Arabidopsis thaliana: one gene and its partner. The protein of the gene in region 1 interacts with the protein of each later gene in a pairwise test. Each region holds a gene or a part of one and is shown on either strand. Other genes may lie near its edges.

The links.
Region 2: the proteins of GLYR2 (region 1) and SCL3 interact in binary tests that used the Arabidopsis thaliana proteins (3 or more experiments, as listed by UniProt).

What each region holds. Positions count from the first base shown.
Region 1 is NC_003070.9:6,068,757-6,074,061, forward strand, and holds GLYR2 (glyoxylate reductase 2), read right to left. Parts: upstream 3,374-5,305; 5' UTR 3,209-3,373; coding exon 3,025-3,208; intron 2,930-3,024; exon of another isoform or gene 2,833-2,929; coding exon of another isoform or gene 2,826-2,832; coding exon 2,744-2,825; intron 2,627-2,743; coding exon 2,561-2,626; intron 2,448-2,560; coding exon 2,372-2,447; intron 2,285-2,371; coding exon 2,229-2,284; intron 2,042-2,228; coding exon 1,957-2,041; intron 1,864-1,956; coding exon 1,803-1,863; intron 1,641-1,802; coding exon 1,588-1,640; intron 1,500-1,587; coding exon 1,429-1,499; intron 1,347-1,428; coding exon 1,274-1,346; intron 1,198-1,273; coding exon 1,093-1,197; intron 1,003-1,092; coding exon 838-1,002; 3' UTR 668-837; downstream 1-667. Other genes in the region: AT1G17640 (RNA-binding (RRM/RBD/RNP motifs) family protein), read right to left, coding at 1-14, 146-342; AT1G17665 (CA-responsive protein), read right to left, coding at 3,676-3,712, 3,879-4,006, 4,247-4,345, 4,425-4,512, 4,714-4,766, 5,117-5,305. UniProt on the Arabidopsis thaliana protein: Catalyzes the NADPH-dependent reduction of glyoxylate to glycolate as well as succinic semialdehyde (SSA) to gamma-hydroxybutyrate in vitro.
Region 2 is NC_003070.9:18,676,916-18,681,850, reverse strand, and holds SCL3 (scarecrow-like 3), read left to right. Parts: upstream 1-1,550; 5' UTR 1,551-1,847; intron 1,848-2,088; 5' UTR 2,089-2,225; coding exon 2,226-3,674; 3' UTR 3,675-4,157; downstream 4,158-4,935. Other genes in the region: AT1G50410 (SNF2 domain-containing protein / helicase domain-containing protein / zinc finger protein-like protein), read right to left, coding at 4,486-4,590, 4,674-4,883. UniProt on the Arabidopsis thaliana protein: Probable transcription factor involved in plant development.

The DNA of each region.
Region 1 (5,305 bases):
CTACGAACAGTTTCCTAACATAAACAAAGACAAAAGGCACCACAAGAAACCTCCCCATCAATATCTTAATAACCAGCTCCGCTGAGAAGAGATTAATATCAAAAGTAAATCCATACAAAAAGATAAAGCCTAAGAAACCACGAACCCAGGAGAAGACATGGACGAAGAAGAATGGCGATGGTCAACGGAATGCTTCATCTGAATCCCACCAGTATCAACGGCTGCACCACCGTTCCTCCGGTCATCAAAGGTCTCCACTTCAAAATCCGATTGTGGTAATTGTTCGTCGTGTACGTGATGATGGTAAGAGTCATCATAACCACGATCTGAGTTATAATCCATCGATCACTGCAGCTGAGTCAAAACAAAACCTTTTAATTTCTCCGTCTGTCTATGATGAAAACCCAAACTTAAAAAATGAATTTTTTTTCTCCAATTTCGATTACTTGATTCAAAGTTATGACATCAAACATTCAAAATTTCTTATCTTGGAAGAGAAAGAACCCTAACCAATATGGTTGAAGTGGAAACGGCAACGAGCTCAGGCGAGAATTTTAACACTTCAGGCACTGAAGAATTTTTTGAAACAAATGATTCGGTGTTATCAACTTATCATCGGAATATCCGAAACGGCGCCGTATTTATTGTAGTCAACGTTGGTCAAACACTTTTCTTTGTTGCTTTTGTCAACATCAGGAGATCAAAGGTTGACTTGTGTTTGACACTTTTAACTTGCTCTCATATAAAATTAACAATTATCAATTGACATGTTGTAAAGATGAAATTTTTCATACAACAGCAAAAAAAAACACATTTTCACATTGAACAAATCTTTAGCTAAGCTTCTCGGGATTTTGCAGCTTTTAGTGCTTCAATTACTGCAGAGAAATCTTCATCGCTCAACCCATAAGATTTTGCAACCTTGTAAAGCTCGTTCGCAGCGGCTGCAATCGGAGTAGATTGCGATACGGATTCCGCTAGTCCAAGTGCGAGTCTCATATCCTATAGACGGATAAAAGTCAATTACAGTCTCATCAAACTCCAGAGTCTTTGTGAGAATCTAAAAAAAGAAAGTAACACAATTACACAAACCTTCTGCTGATGCTTTAATGGAAAAGCCGTCGGGTACACTGACTTGATCATTGAAGGACCCTTTAGTGAGTACATTGGCGCATTGATAGCTCCCTGTGAGACAACCTGCAGAAAAAAATTTCCCGGGGTTTATAGCACATTTGGTAAGAAACTTTCTGCTGGACAATGGTGTTTTAGTTACCTCGACAAGTACATTTGGATCGAGTCCAACTTTCTGGCTTAGAAGTATTCCCTCCGCGAATGATGCCATCATACTGCATAGGTAAAGAGAAAAAGAGATCAGAAGAAGAATCTGGAATTTGCCAAGAAATGAAGCGATAGATGGTCAAATGATACCTTCCCATGATCATGTTGACGACAAGTTTCATTGCTGCTCCATTACCAACTTCACCCAAATAGAATTTTGACTGGATCATATAATGCAAACTAGTAACGAAAATGGTTCATTTGCAGAAGAAAAAAGAACTAAAAGCAAAACACAGGCAAAAGAGATACCTTTCCCATGATGTCTAAGAAAGGAGCAGCTTTTTCGTATAGCGGCTTGTCACCTAAAATGTCAAGTGCCAGATAGTCATAAATCTCCATTTCATTCATGATTCAACCATGTTAGAAAATACAGGCAAGTCACCCGCGAAGACAAAATAATCTGATATGCAAAAGTGATGATCGATTATTAATACAAGCTCAATGAGGAGTAAGCTGTTACGAACCTGCAGTGAGAAATATTAACTGCCCATCTTCGGCAGGCTTTTTGGAACCTGAAACTGGTGCCTATGAATATCAAAAATAGAAATGACTTAAGCCACCAGATCTGTTACAAGGTTTTTTAGTGATTCTAGATATAGATTAACTAAGAGCCTTTACCTCCAAGAACAAGGCTCCGGTATCCTTTATTTGCTTGCTGATTAGTATTGATGAGGCCACATCAACGGTTGAGACATCAACATACCTGCAGTAGCAAGGCAAGTCCCATTTTTACCAGAAAGTATCGACCACATTACTATATAGATTCGAAGAAGAAATTAAAAAAGAACGACTGTGAACTCTTCTGTAGTTACATAAGAAATACAGATATCTTGAAACATTTCAGCAATAGAACGTTATATCCAGCATAAGTCTCATGAAGGAGTAAGTACCCTTTTCCTGAACTAATCCCAAATATGGCTCCATTCTTTCCACATGCAACATCAATCTGACAGAAAGCAAAATACAGTTTTTGTTTTAATATGGAGTGAAAGTAGAAGAAAAAGAGACGCAAACAAAAGTGAGACATACGCACTGCACTTTCAGGATCAGCAAGCATTGCAAATGTGAGATCACAAGTTGCAGTCACTTCTTCAGGAGAAGACTTGTACCTGCAACAAAGGGAGATACTTTCTTAATCGTTAAATTTTTCTTCTACGTTAGCTCTAAAACCTCACTCGGAGTAAATAATATCATTCTTTATAAGAAGCATTGGAACTCTTACTTTGCTCCTAATCCAACGAGAGGATCACATTTGCTCTTAGTTCGATTCCATACAGTCACATCACACCTAACAACCAAGCCCCAGAAAGATCAACGTAAGTATCATCAATACATCAAAAAGAGGTAAAGTAGCAAAATTGATGTGAATTAGATTGTCTACACATAAAAATCAAAACTTTTTTACCCAGCTTTGATGAGGTTCTGTGCCATTGGAGAACCCATGATTCCCATACCCAGAAACCCAATGCTAACAGTTCCAAGTTCATCTGCCATACGAACCACAATTCCTCAGATAAGACTACCCCAAAAAGGATAAAGATAAGGAGATTATAGTATTCGATCATCTTTCTCGAAACTTGTGGGTTTTGTCCTAAAAAGAGAGCGACACTTCATAATTTAATCCATTTAAACGTAATTCATAGTTCTGGAAAACCAGTGTATGCATAATACAAAGCAAGAAATTACCTCTGGTAGAGGGAGTAGTAGATTGCAGGGAAGAGTAAACCCTGTAAGCGAGACAAATTTGAGGTTTTGAGAGAAAAGGGGAAATGGGTTTTGGCCTGAATCGAAGAGGGATGCGAGGACAGATAGAGCACAAAGCCATGGCTTTTGAAGAAGATGAAGCAAAAGATAATGAAACCAAAGGCATAGCCACTGGCCAGTGCGTTTGTTTAGTAGACTGTGGCCGAAATTCTCACATTTCGAGGCGGAAACTGACAGATTTTTACTGAGGAACAAAATCCACTGGCCGCGTTGCATATGCTTCGGTTTAAAGCTAATTCACAAGCAGATATAATTGTACCGGTCGGTTCAAGTGCATTTATCCCCCATGAGTCATGATGCTTGTGTTTGTATATTTTTATCAACAGTGTTTTTTCTCGAAAAAAGCCTCACTATGTACGATACTCATGCACGTTTGGACTTTGCTCAATTCAGATAAACCGAATCAGTTTGATTCAAACCGAACTGAAAAAATCGATTTGAAAACCGGGTAATGTGTTATATAGAAAACGCATCCCTATGGAGGAAACTCTCTATACACAGCACCAAAAATAGGAGAACATCAAAAAAGGATTCAGTTTTCCTGCTGAGCTCACGGCAGTTTCAATCACCAAATCATGTTCTGCAAGTTCGCAATCTTCCATTTTTATGCCTGAAAACCAACACAAGAGTGGAGAGTAAGATGGTTATAGAGGATAAGCAATATGAAGAAAGATTGCGGAAATACTCAAAAAGGCCTATACATGGAGCAAGATTCATATGAGCAAGTAATTTAGATTTACTAATAAGCTTGAGGAGAGATGGAGAGAAATGCTGACCAAAACGAGTCTTTCTTTTCCTGTTCCAATAGCTCTTCGAAGGAAATGTCTGAAAATTCATCATCTGGATTGTCTAACTCTGTGCTCGATTTGTCTTTGAGTTCCATGGAAGCGCTTATTTCAAGAACCTATAGTAGTATCATAAAGAGTATTAACGGCTTTAACTAGAGATAACCAAAAATCTCAAGGGAAGTCCCAATTATGCTAACAGAGTCCAATACAGGAGATAAGACTCTACTGGTTTATCAGACAGCAACAACAATCAGTAAGATTAATCTAGAATCAGAAACATCATTGAACAGATTTTTGAGGTTTTGGACACATAGGACACAATCTTTGGAAACAAGTGATTGAGTTTGGTTTTTAACCTTTTTGTATGCAGGTGAGAGTTTAAGCTGTTGCTGGAGCCAATTATATACAAGTGCATCTTCTTCTACTCTTTTTTGTTCCATCTCCAGCTTATAGATCTGATGACACACAAACAATTAACTTCAAAAGCAACAAACGGATAAAAATCAGACAATCAATTGATGAAGCTAAATTCACCTGTTGACGAAGTCGGTCAAAGGAAGATCTATCAGCCTTAAAGAGAAGGGCTTTTGTTATTGAAAACTTGCGCTTGATTACTTCTGACCTACAGTAGACACAATCAGGCTTAAATCAGTGTCACCGGAGAAGAAAAGGCTAACTCAGTAAAGCAACATGTCACACCATCAACATAACAAAGCATAGAACAGGAAGCAACTATTTGTAATTCCTGTGTCCTCAAAATGTAGGAAGAACTAAGAAAATGGATGAGAGTATATGATATTATGTTATGGTAGTGTTAACTTACTTGTGTTGTAGTTCATTTTTGGCTTCTATCAAACAATTAGCAAACTCCCCAACCTACAGAAGTGAAGAACCCAGAAAACATCAGAATCTAAAACTCAACTGGGCAGAATTTTATAGTAATCCAAAGTTTAGATTGAAGTAAATCATTCTGATATATCAAAAGGAAGCAAGCTTAGCTGATGATTAAGTATTGAAACCTCCCAACTCAAAAATCATTTAGTTTATCAACTGAGTTTAGTATAGGCTATTGAACAAACACCACAAAGGTATATAAACCACATAGAGGTTTTAGGATGCTAATTAAGGAAATCACAGGCTTAATAGACTTGGATTTATGTTTCAAATTCACGTTTTCCAATTTTGATTTCCATAAATAGTTAATAACCGAAGGTAAAGAAGGTGACCTGAGCTAGTGTCAATCCTTTGGCATTATTGCATTTAACAAGCTGATCGTATTGCTGCTTAATCTTCCTCTGCGTAGCACTGCTCGTCGATGTAAAAGGATATAAACAAACAAACTCCGGTTTGTTTTCCGATATCGAAATCGAGTCTGTCCTCGGATTCAAAACAAGCCCATCTTCTCCCTCACCGAG
Region 2 (4,935 bases), about 13 Mb from region 1:
CCCTATAAAATACATGAATAATCACAAAGAATTGATAGTGTTCTTTCAGTTTTTCAATCACAAAGAACTCACCGACATTATCAAGTTGACTTCACTTTTAGACTTAATTGGTGTTCTGGAGGATCCACAAAACTACTATTACACAGTTTTCACAAAATTGTGATTCTTTATTTTTTATTTTCTTTGGTCAAACTAACATTTCATTCAACTTTAAACGAGAGTTGCCTCCACGTGGAGAGTATACACAAAAAGCTACGAGGACAAATGCTCAAACAAAAAGACATAAGAAGGGGAGCTCAGAAGCTCAACCCGAGTAGCAGCATCCAAAGTTGCTAAAACAGAACCATCATTTACTTCTGAGGCGGTCTTCGTACCAAGCTCCTTCAGCAAAATTGTGATTCTATGTTTGGATATCATGAGATCTAACTACAAAGTTTTTAATAACAAAAACTTACCATTCTCTAATTTGTAGTCAAAGCTAAACAAATTTCATACTAAAACAATTTTACTGTGTTGTTATGGATGCATATTTTTCTCACTTTATAGTACTATTTTACTATTGATAAGATGAAAAAAAAGTTGAGGTACAATAGTAGTAAAATAGCATCATTCTTTTTCTGTAGAATCTCTCTGGTCAATGGTCTTTTTAGTTTAAAAACTGAATAATGTTCTCTCTCACACAGTAAAAAACAAAGAGAGAGAGAAAGAAGAGAAGAAGACAAAAATGTAGGCATTAAAAAGAAGAAAAAGACAAAGAGAAAAGTAATGAAAAGACAATGAACATTTAAAGAAGACAGACAAATCCCACACCCAAGCCTCAGCCTCATCTCTTTTATTGTTATTTGTTTTTCTAACAAAACAACAAAAACAAAAGAGATGGTTTTTGGGTTTTGTTTTGTCTTTGTTAGGGCGTGTTTGGACGTTTCCTTCTTCTCAGAATCAATATTTTACCAAAACAGCTTTCTTTTTTTCTCTTTAACAATTTTTTTGATGTAGAAATATATAGTCATGATTCCAAATCCACCTCATGCCATGACAAAAACCCATAAAAGTGGAGGTTCCAATCTCGAATACAGACATATATGTTGTATTCGTGTATGTATCTATTATAAGATAATTCCAATTTGTATAATGCCAAATGGGTTCATTGAACTTCTTCTTCCTTCATAATTAAGTGTTGCTTTTTCTTCTTAGTTCCTCTAAATCAAGAAAATTCTAGGTGAAACTTCTCTTATCTTGACTTTATATAAAATAATAACTATAAAAATAATCAATAAGACTAATTCCTACAAGTCTTACAAATTTAAAAGAAAATGAAAATGCAACATTAGCTAATACACATAATAGTATAAGATTGATGGATGTATTCTTATTCAGTTTTATTTATAAATGCAACATAAGCTAATACACTCTCATTCAGTTTTATTTATTAATGTTACACCACTTTAAGAGCACTCAAAATCAAAATACGTATTCTTATATGATATTCATTCATGTAGTACTAGTACACATAATAGTATAAGATAGATGGATGGGATTGGAAAATTTGACAACCTTTTGTTTAATAATTCCTTAAAACCAAGGAAAGAAGAAAGAGGAAACGAAAAAAACAAAAAGGAAGAAGACAAAACCGACTATCACGCATTGTCTGGTACGTAGAGCCAAAAGGAACAATGCCTCTGTTTTAGTGTTTTCTTTCTTAAAGTTTTTTCCCAAAACACAAACAACATTTCACACACACGCTATTACTCACAAGATAACCACCAGAGACGTGGATAGAGAGATAAAGATTGAGAGAACCCTCTCACTCCCAAAAAAAAAGCTTTAGACATTTTCTCTAAATCCATGTAAGTTTTTTTCTTTGGTTATTGTTGTTTGTTATCTTCTTTGATCATTTGCTATTATTTTGTTTTGTTTCTTTCTTAGTTTATCAAATTAGGAAAGTTTTAATTCAGCTCTCTGTTTGTGTTTCTTCGTCTATATCTATTTCAAATAGTTTAACTAGATTCAAAGGTTTTTAAAATTCAGTACTTTCTCTGCAAACCCTAGTTCCTCTGTTCTTTAACCCCCTTTTTTGTTAAACTGCAGATTCTCTGCATCTTTCAAGAAATTCCGAATCGTGGGTTTGGTTCTTCTCGTTACGAGTCTCTCAAAGTTTAAATCTTTCTTTACAAAAAAGGTTACTTTTGGTTCTGAGTAAATCAAAATCAAGCTTTTGGCCTTCAATGGTGGCTATGTTTCAAGAAGATAATGGAACATCTTCTGTAGCTTCATCACCACTTCAAGTCTTCTCAACTATGTCACTCAACAGACCGACTCTCCTCGCTTCTTCATCTCCGTTTCATTGTCTCAAAGATCTCAAACCAGAGGAGCGTGGTCTCTACTTAATCCACCTCTTGCTAACTTGTGCCAACCACGTGGCTTCAGGTAGCCTCCAAAACGCTAACGCAGCGCTCGAGCAGCTCTCTCACCTCGCTTCTCCTGACGGCGACACGATGCAGCGAATCGCTGCTTACTTCACCGAAGCGCTTGCTAACAGAATCCTTAAGTCCTGGCCTGGTCTTTACAAGGCTCTTAACGCAACTCAGACAAGAACTAACAATGTCTCTGAGGAGATTCATGTTAGAAGACTCTTCTTTGAGATGTTCCCGATACTCAAAGTCTCTTACTTGCTCACTAATCGAGCTATACTCGAGGCTATGGAAGGAGAGAAGATGGTTCATGTGATTGATCTCGATGCTTCTGAGCCAGCTCAATGGCTTGCTTTGCTTCAAGCTTTTAACTCTAGGCCTGAAGGTCCACCTCATTTGAGAATCACTGGTGTTCATCACCAGAAGGAAGTGCTTGAACAAATGGCTCATAGACTCATTGAGGAAGCAGAGAAACTCGATATCCCGTTTCAGTTTAATCCCGTTGTGAGTAGGTTAGACTGTTTAAATGTAGAACAGTTGCGGGTTAAAACAGGAGAGGCCTTAGCCGTTAGCTCGGTTCTTCAATTGCATACCTTCTTGGCCTCTGATGATGATCTCATGAGAAAGAACTGCGCTTTACGGTTTCAGAACAACCCTAGTGGAGTTGACTTGCAGAGAGTTCTAATGATGAGCCATGGCTCTGCAGCTGAGGCACGTGAGAATGATATGAGTAACAACAATGGGTATAGCCCTAGCGGTGACTCGGCCTCATCTTTGCCTTTACCAAGTTCAGGAAGGACTGATAGCTTCCTCAATGCTATTTGGGGTTTGTCTCCAAAGGTCATGGTGGTCACTGAGCAAGACTCAGACCACAACGGCTCCACACTAATGGAGAGGCTATTAGAATCACTTTACACCTACGCAGCATTGTTTGATTGCTTGGAAACAAAAGTTCCAAGAACGTCTCAAGATAGGATCAAAGTGGAGAAGATGCTCTTCGGGGAGGAGATCAAGAACATCATATCCTGCGAGGGATTTGAGAGAAGAGAAAGACACGAGAAGCTTGAGAAATGGAGCCAGAGGATCGATTTGGCTGGTTTTGGGAATGTTCCTCTTAGCTATTATGCGATGTTGCAGGCTAGGAGATTGCTTCAAGGGTGCGGTTTTGATGGGTATAGAATCAAGGAAGAGAGCGGGTGCGCAGTAATTTGCTGGCAAGATCGACCTCTATACTCGGTATCAGCTTGGAGATGCAGGAAGTGAATGATATATTACAGTTTGTCTTCTATTTTGGTTATGAGCAGAGTCCCTTTCTTTTTTGTATACATGGGGACACAATCTTAGTTGTTTTGTGATGGTGACTTTCTGTCTCTTTATGCTATTTTGGCTTAAATGCTTCTACTGCCTCTGCATGTAAAGCCTTTGTGTGTTGGTTCAATTTGGTCTGGTGTGGGTGTAATACCAAACCAAATCCAATTTGAGCTGAAGATAACTAATTTGATGATCGGTTCAAGTTCAGAACTCCAAATTCTTTCAGAGACCAGCCAAACTTTGCCTATCTTTAAGCAGGTGATCTTGTCATTTGTGTATTGTAAATAACTTAAACTCGGTATATATATTTAGGTTACTAAAGGACATGTTCACTATCCAAAGAGTATACGACTTATCTGCTGTCCAAATACTTTGTAACCTAAAGTTCACGTGCTTCATTTACATTGAATCTAGTTTAACCTAATCTTCTTGCTTCATTTATATTTGAATTTTGTTTAAGCAATCTAGTCTTTATCTTGTCTTAGCAAATTCACAGAGTGTTTCTCATGCAAAAGTGTTGCATGATCAAAACACCTTGATAATAAGATTGAAAGAGTAATGTGATCCCAAAAGGAAAGAAGATCTCGGATGAACTGATTCAGAAAAAGTATATACTCTGATGTTATATATACTATGAGACAACAGCTAAGTTATTTACATATTTCCTCATTTCAAATCTGTGAACCTGAAGAACACAAGAATGCAGCTCATGATCAAAATTCTGAAAGAAGCGAAACTTCGCCAACCCAAGATTTAAGAACAGCTACACCATGAATAGATATTTGAGATCATCAACTGTTAATCGAGTTGCAGAGCTTCCACCATGATCTTCACCAAAGGCAGACGCAACCATTTTTCTTTTCTCTTCCTATAATAATAACCAAAAATCACACAACCACAAATGAGAGAAACTGAGGGGGGAAACAAGTATCAGCTATAAGGGATCTTTACCTGGAGAGCCAAAATTCTATCCTCCACAGTATTTTTTATCGTAATACGAGTTACAGTAACAGGTCGAGTTTGTCCAATACGATGTGCTCGATCAATAGCCTGATCTTCAGTAGTTGGATTCCACCATAGATCAAGAAGAATGACATGACATGCAGCAATCATATTCAGCCCAAGATTTCCAGCTTTTAAAGACATTATCATCACTTTTACCTGTTTAAGACAAAAAAACAAAAAAAGGAGGGAACACATACACCACCACTAA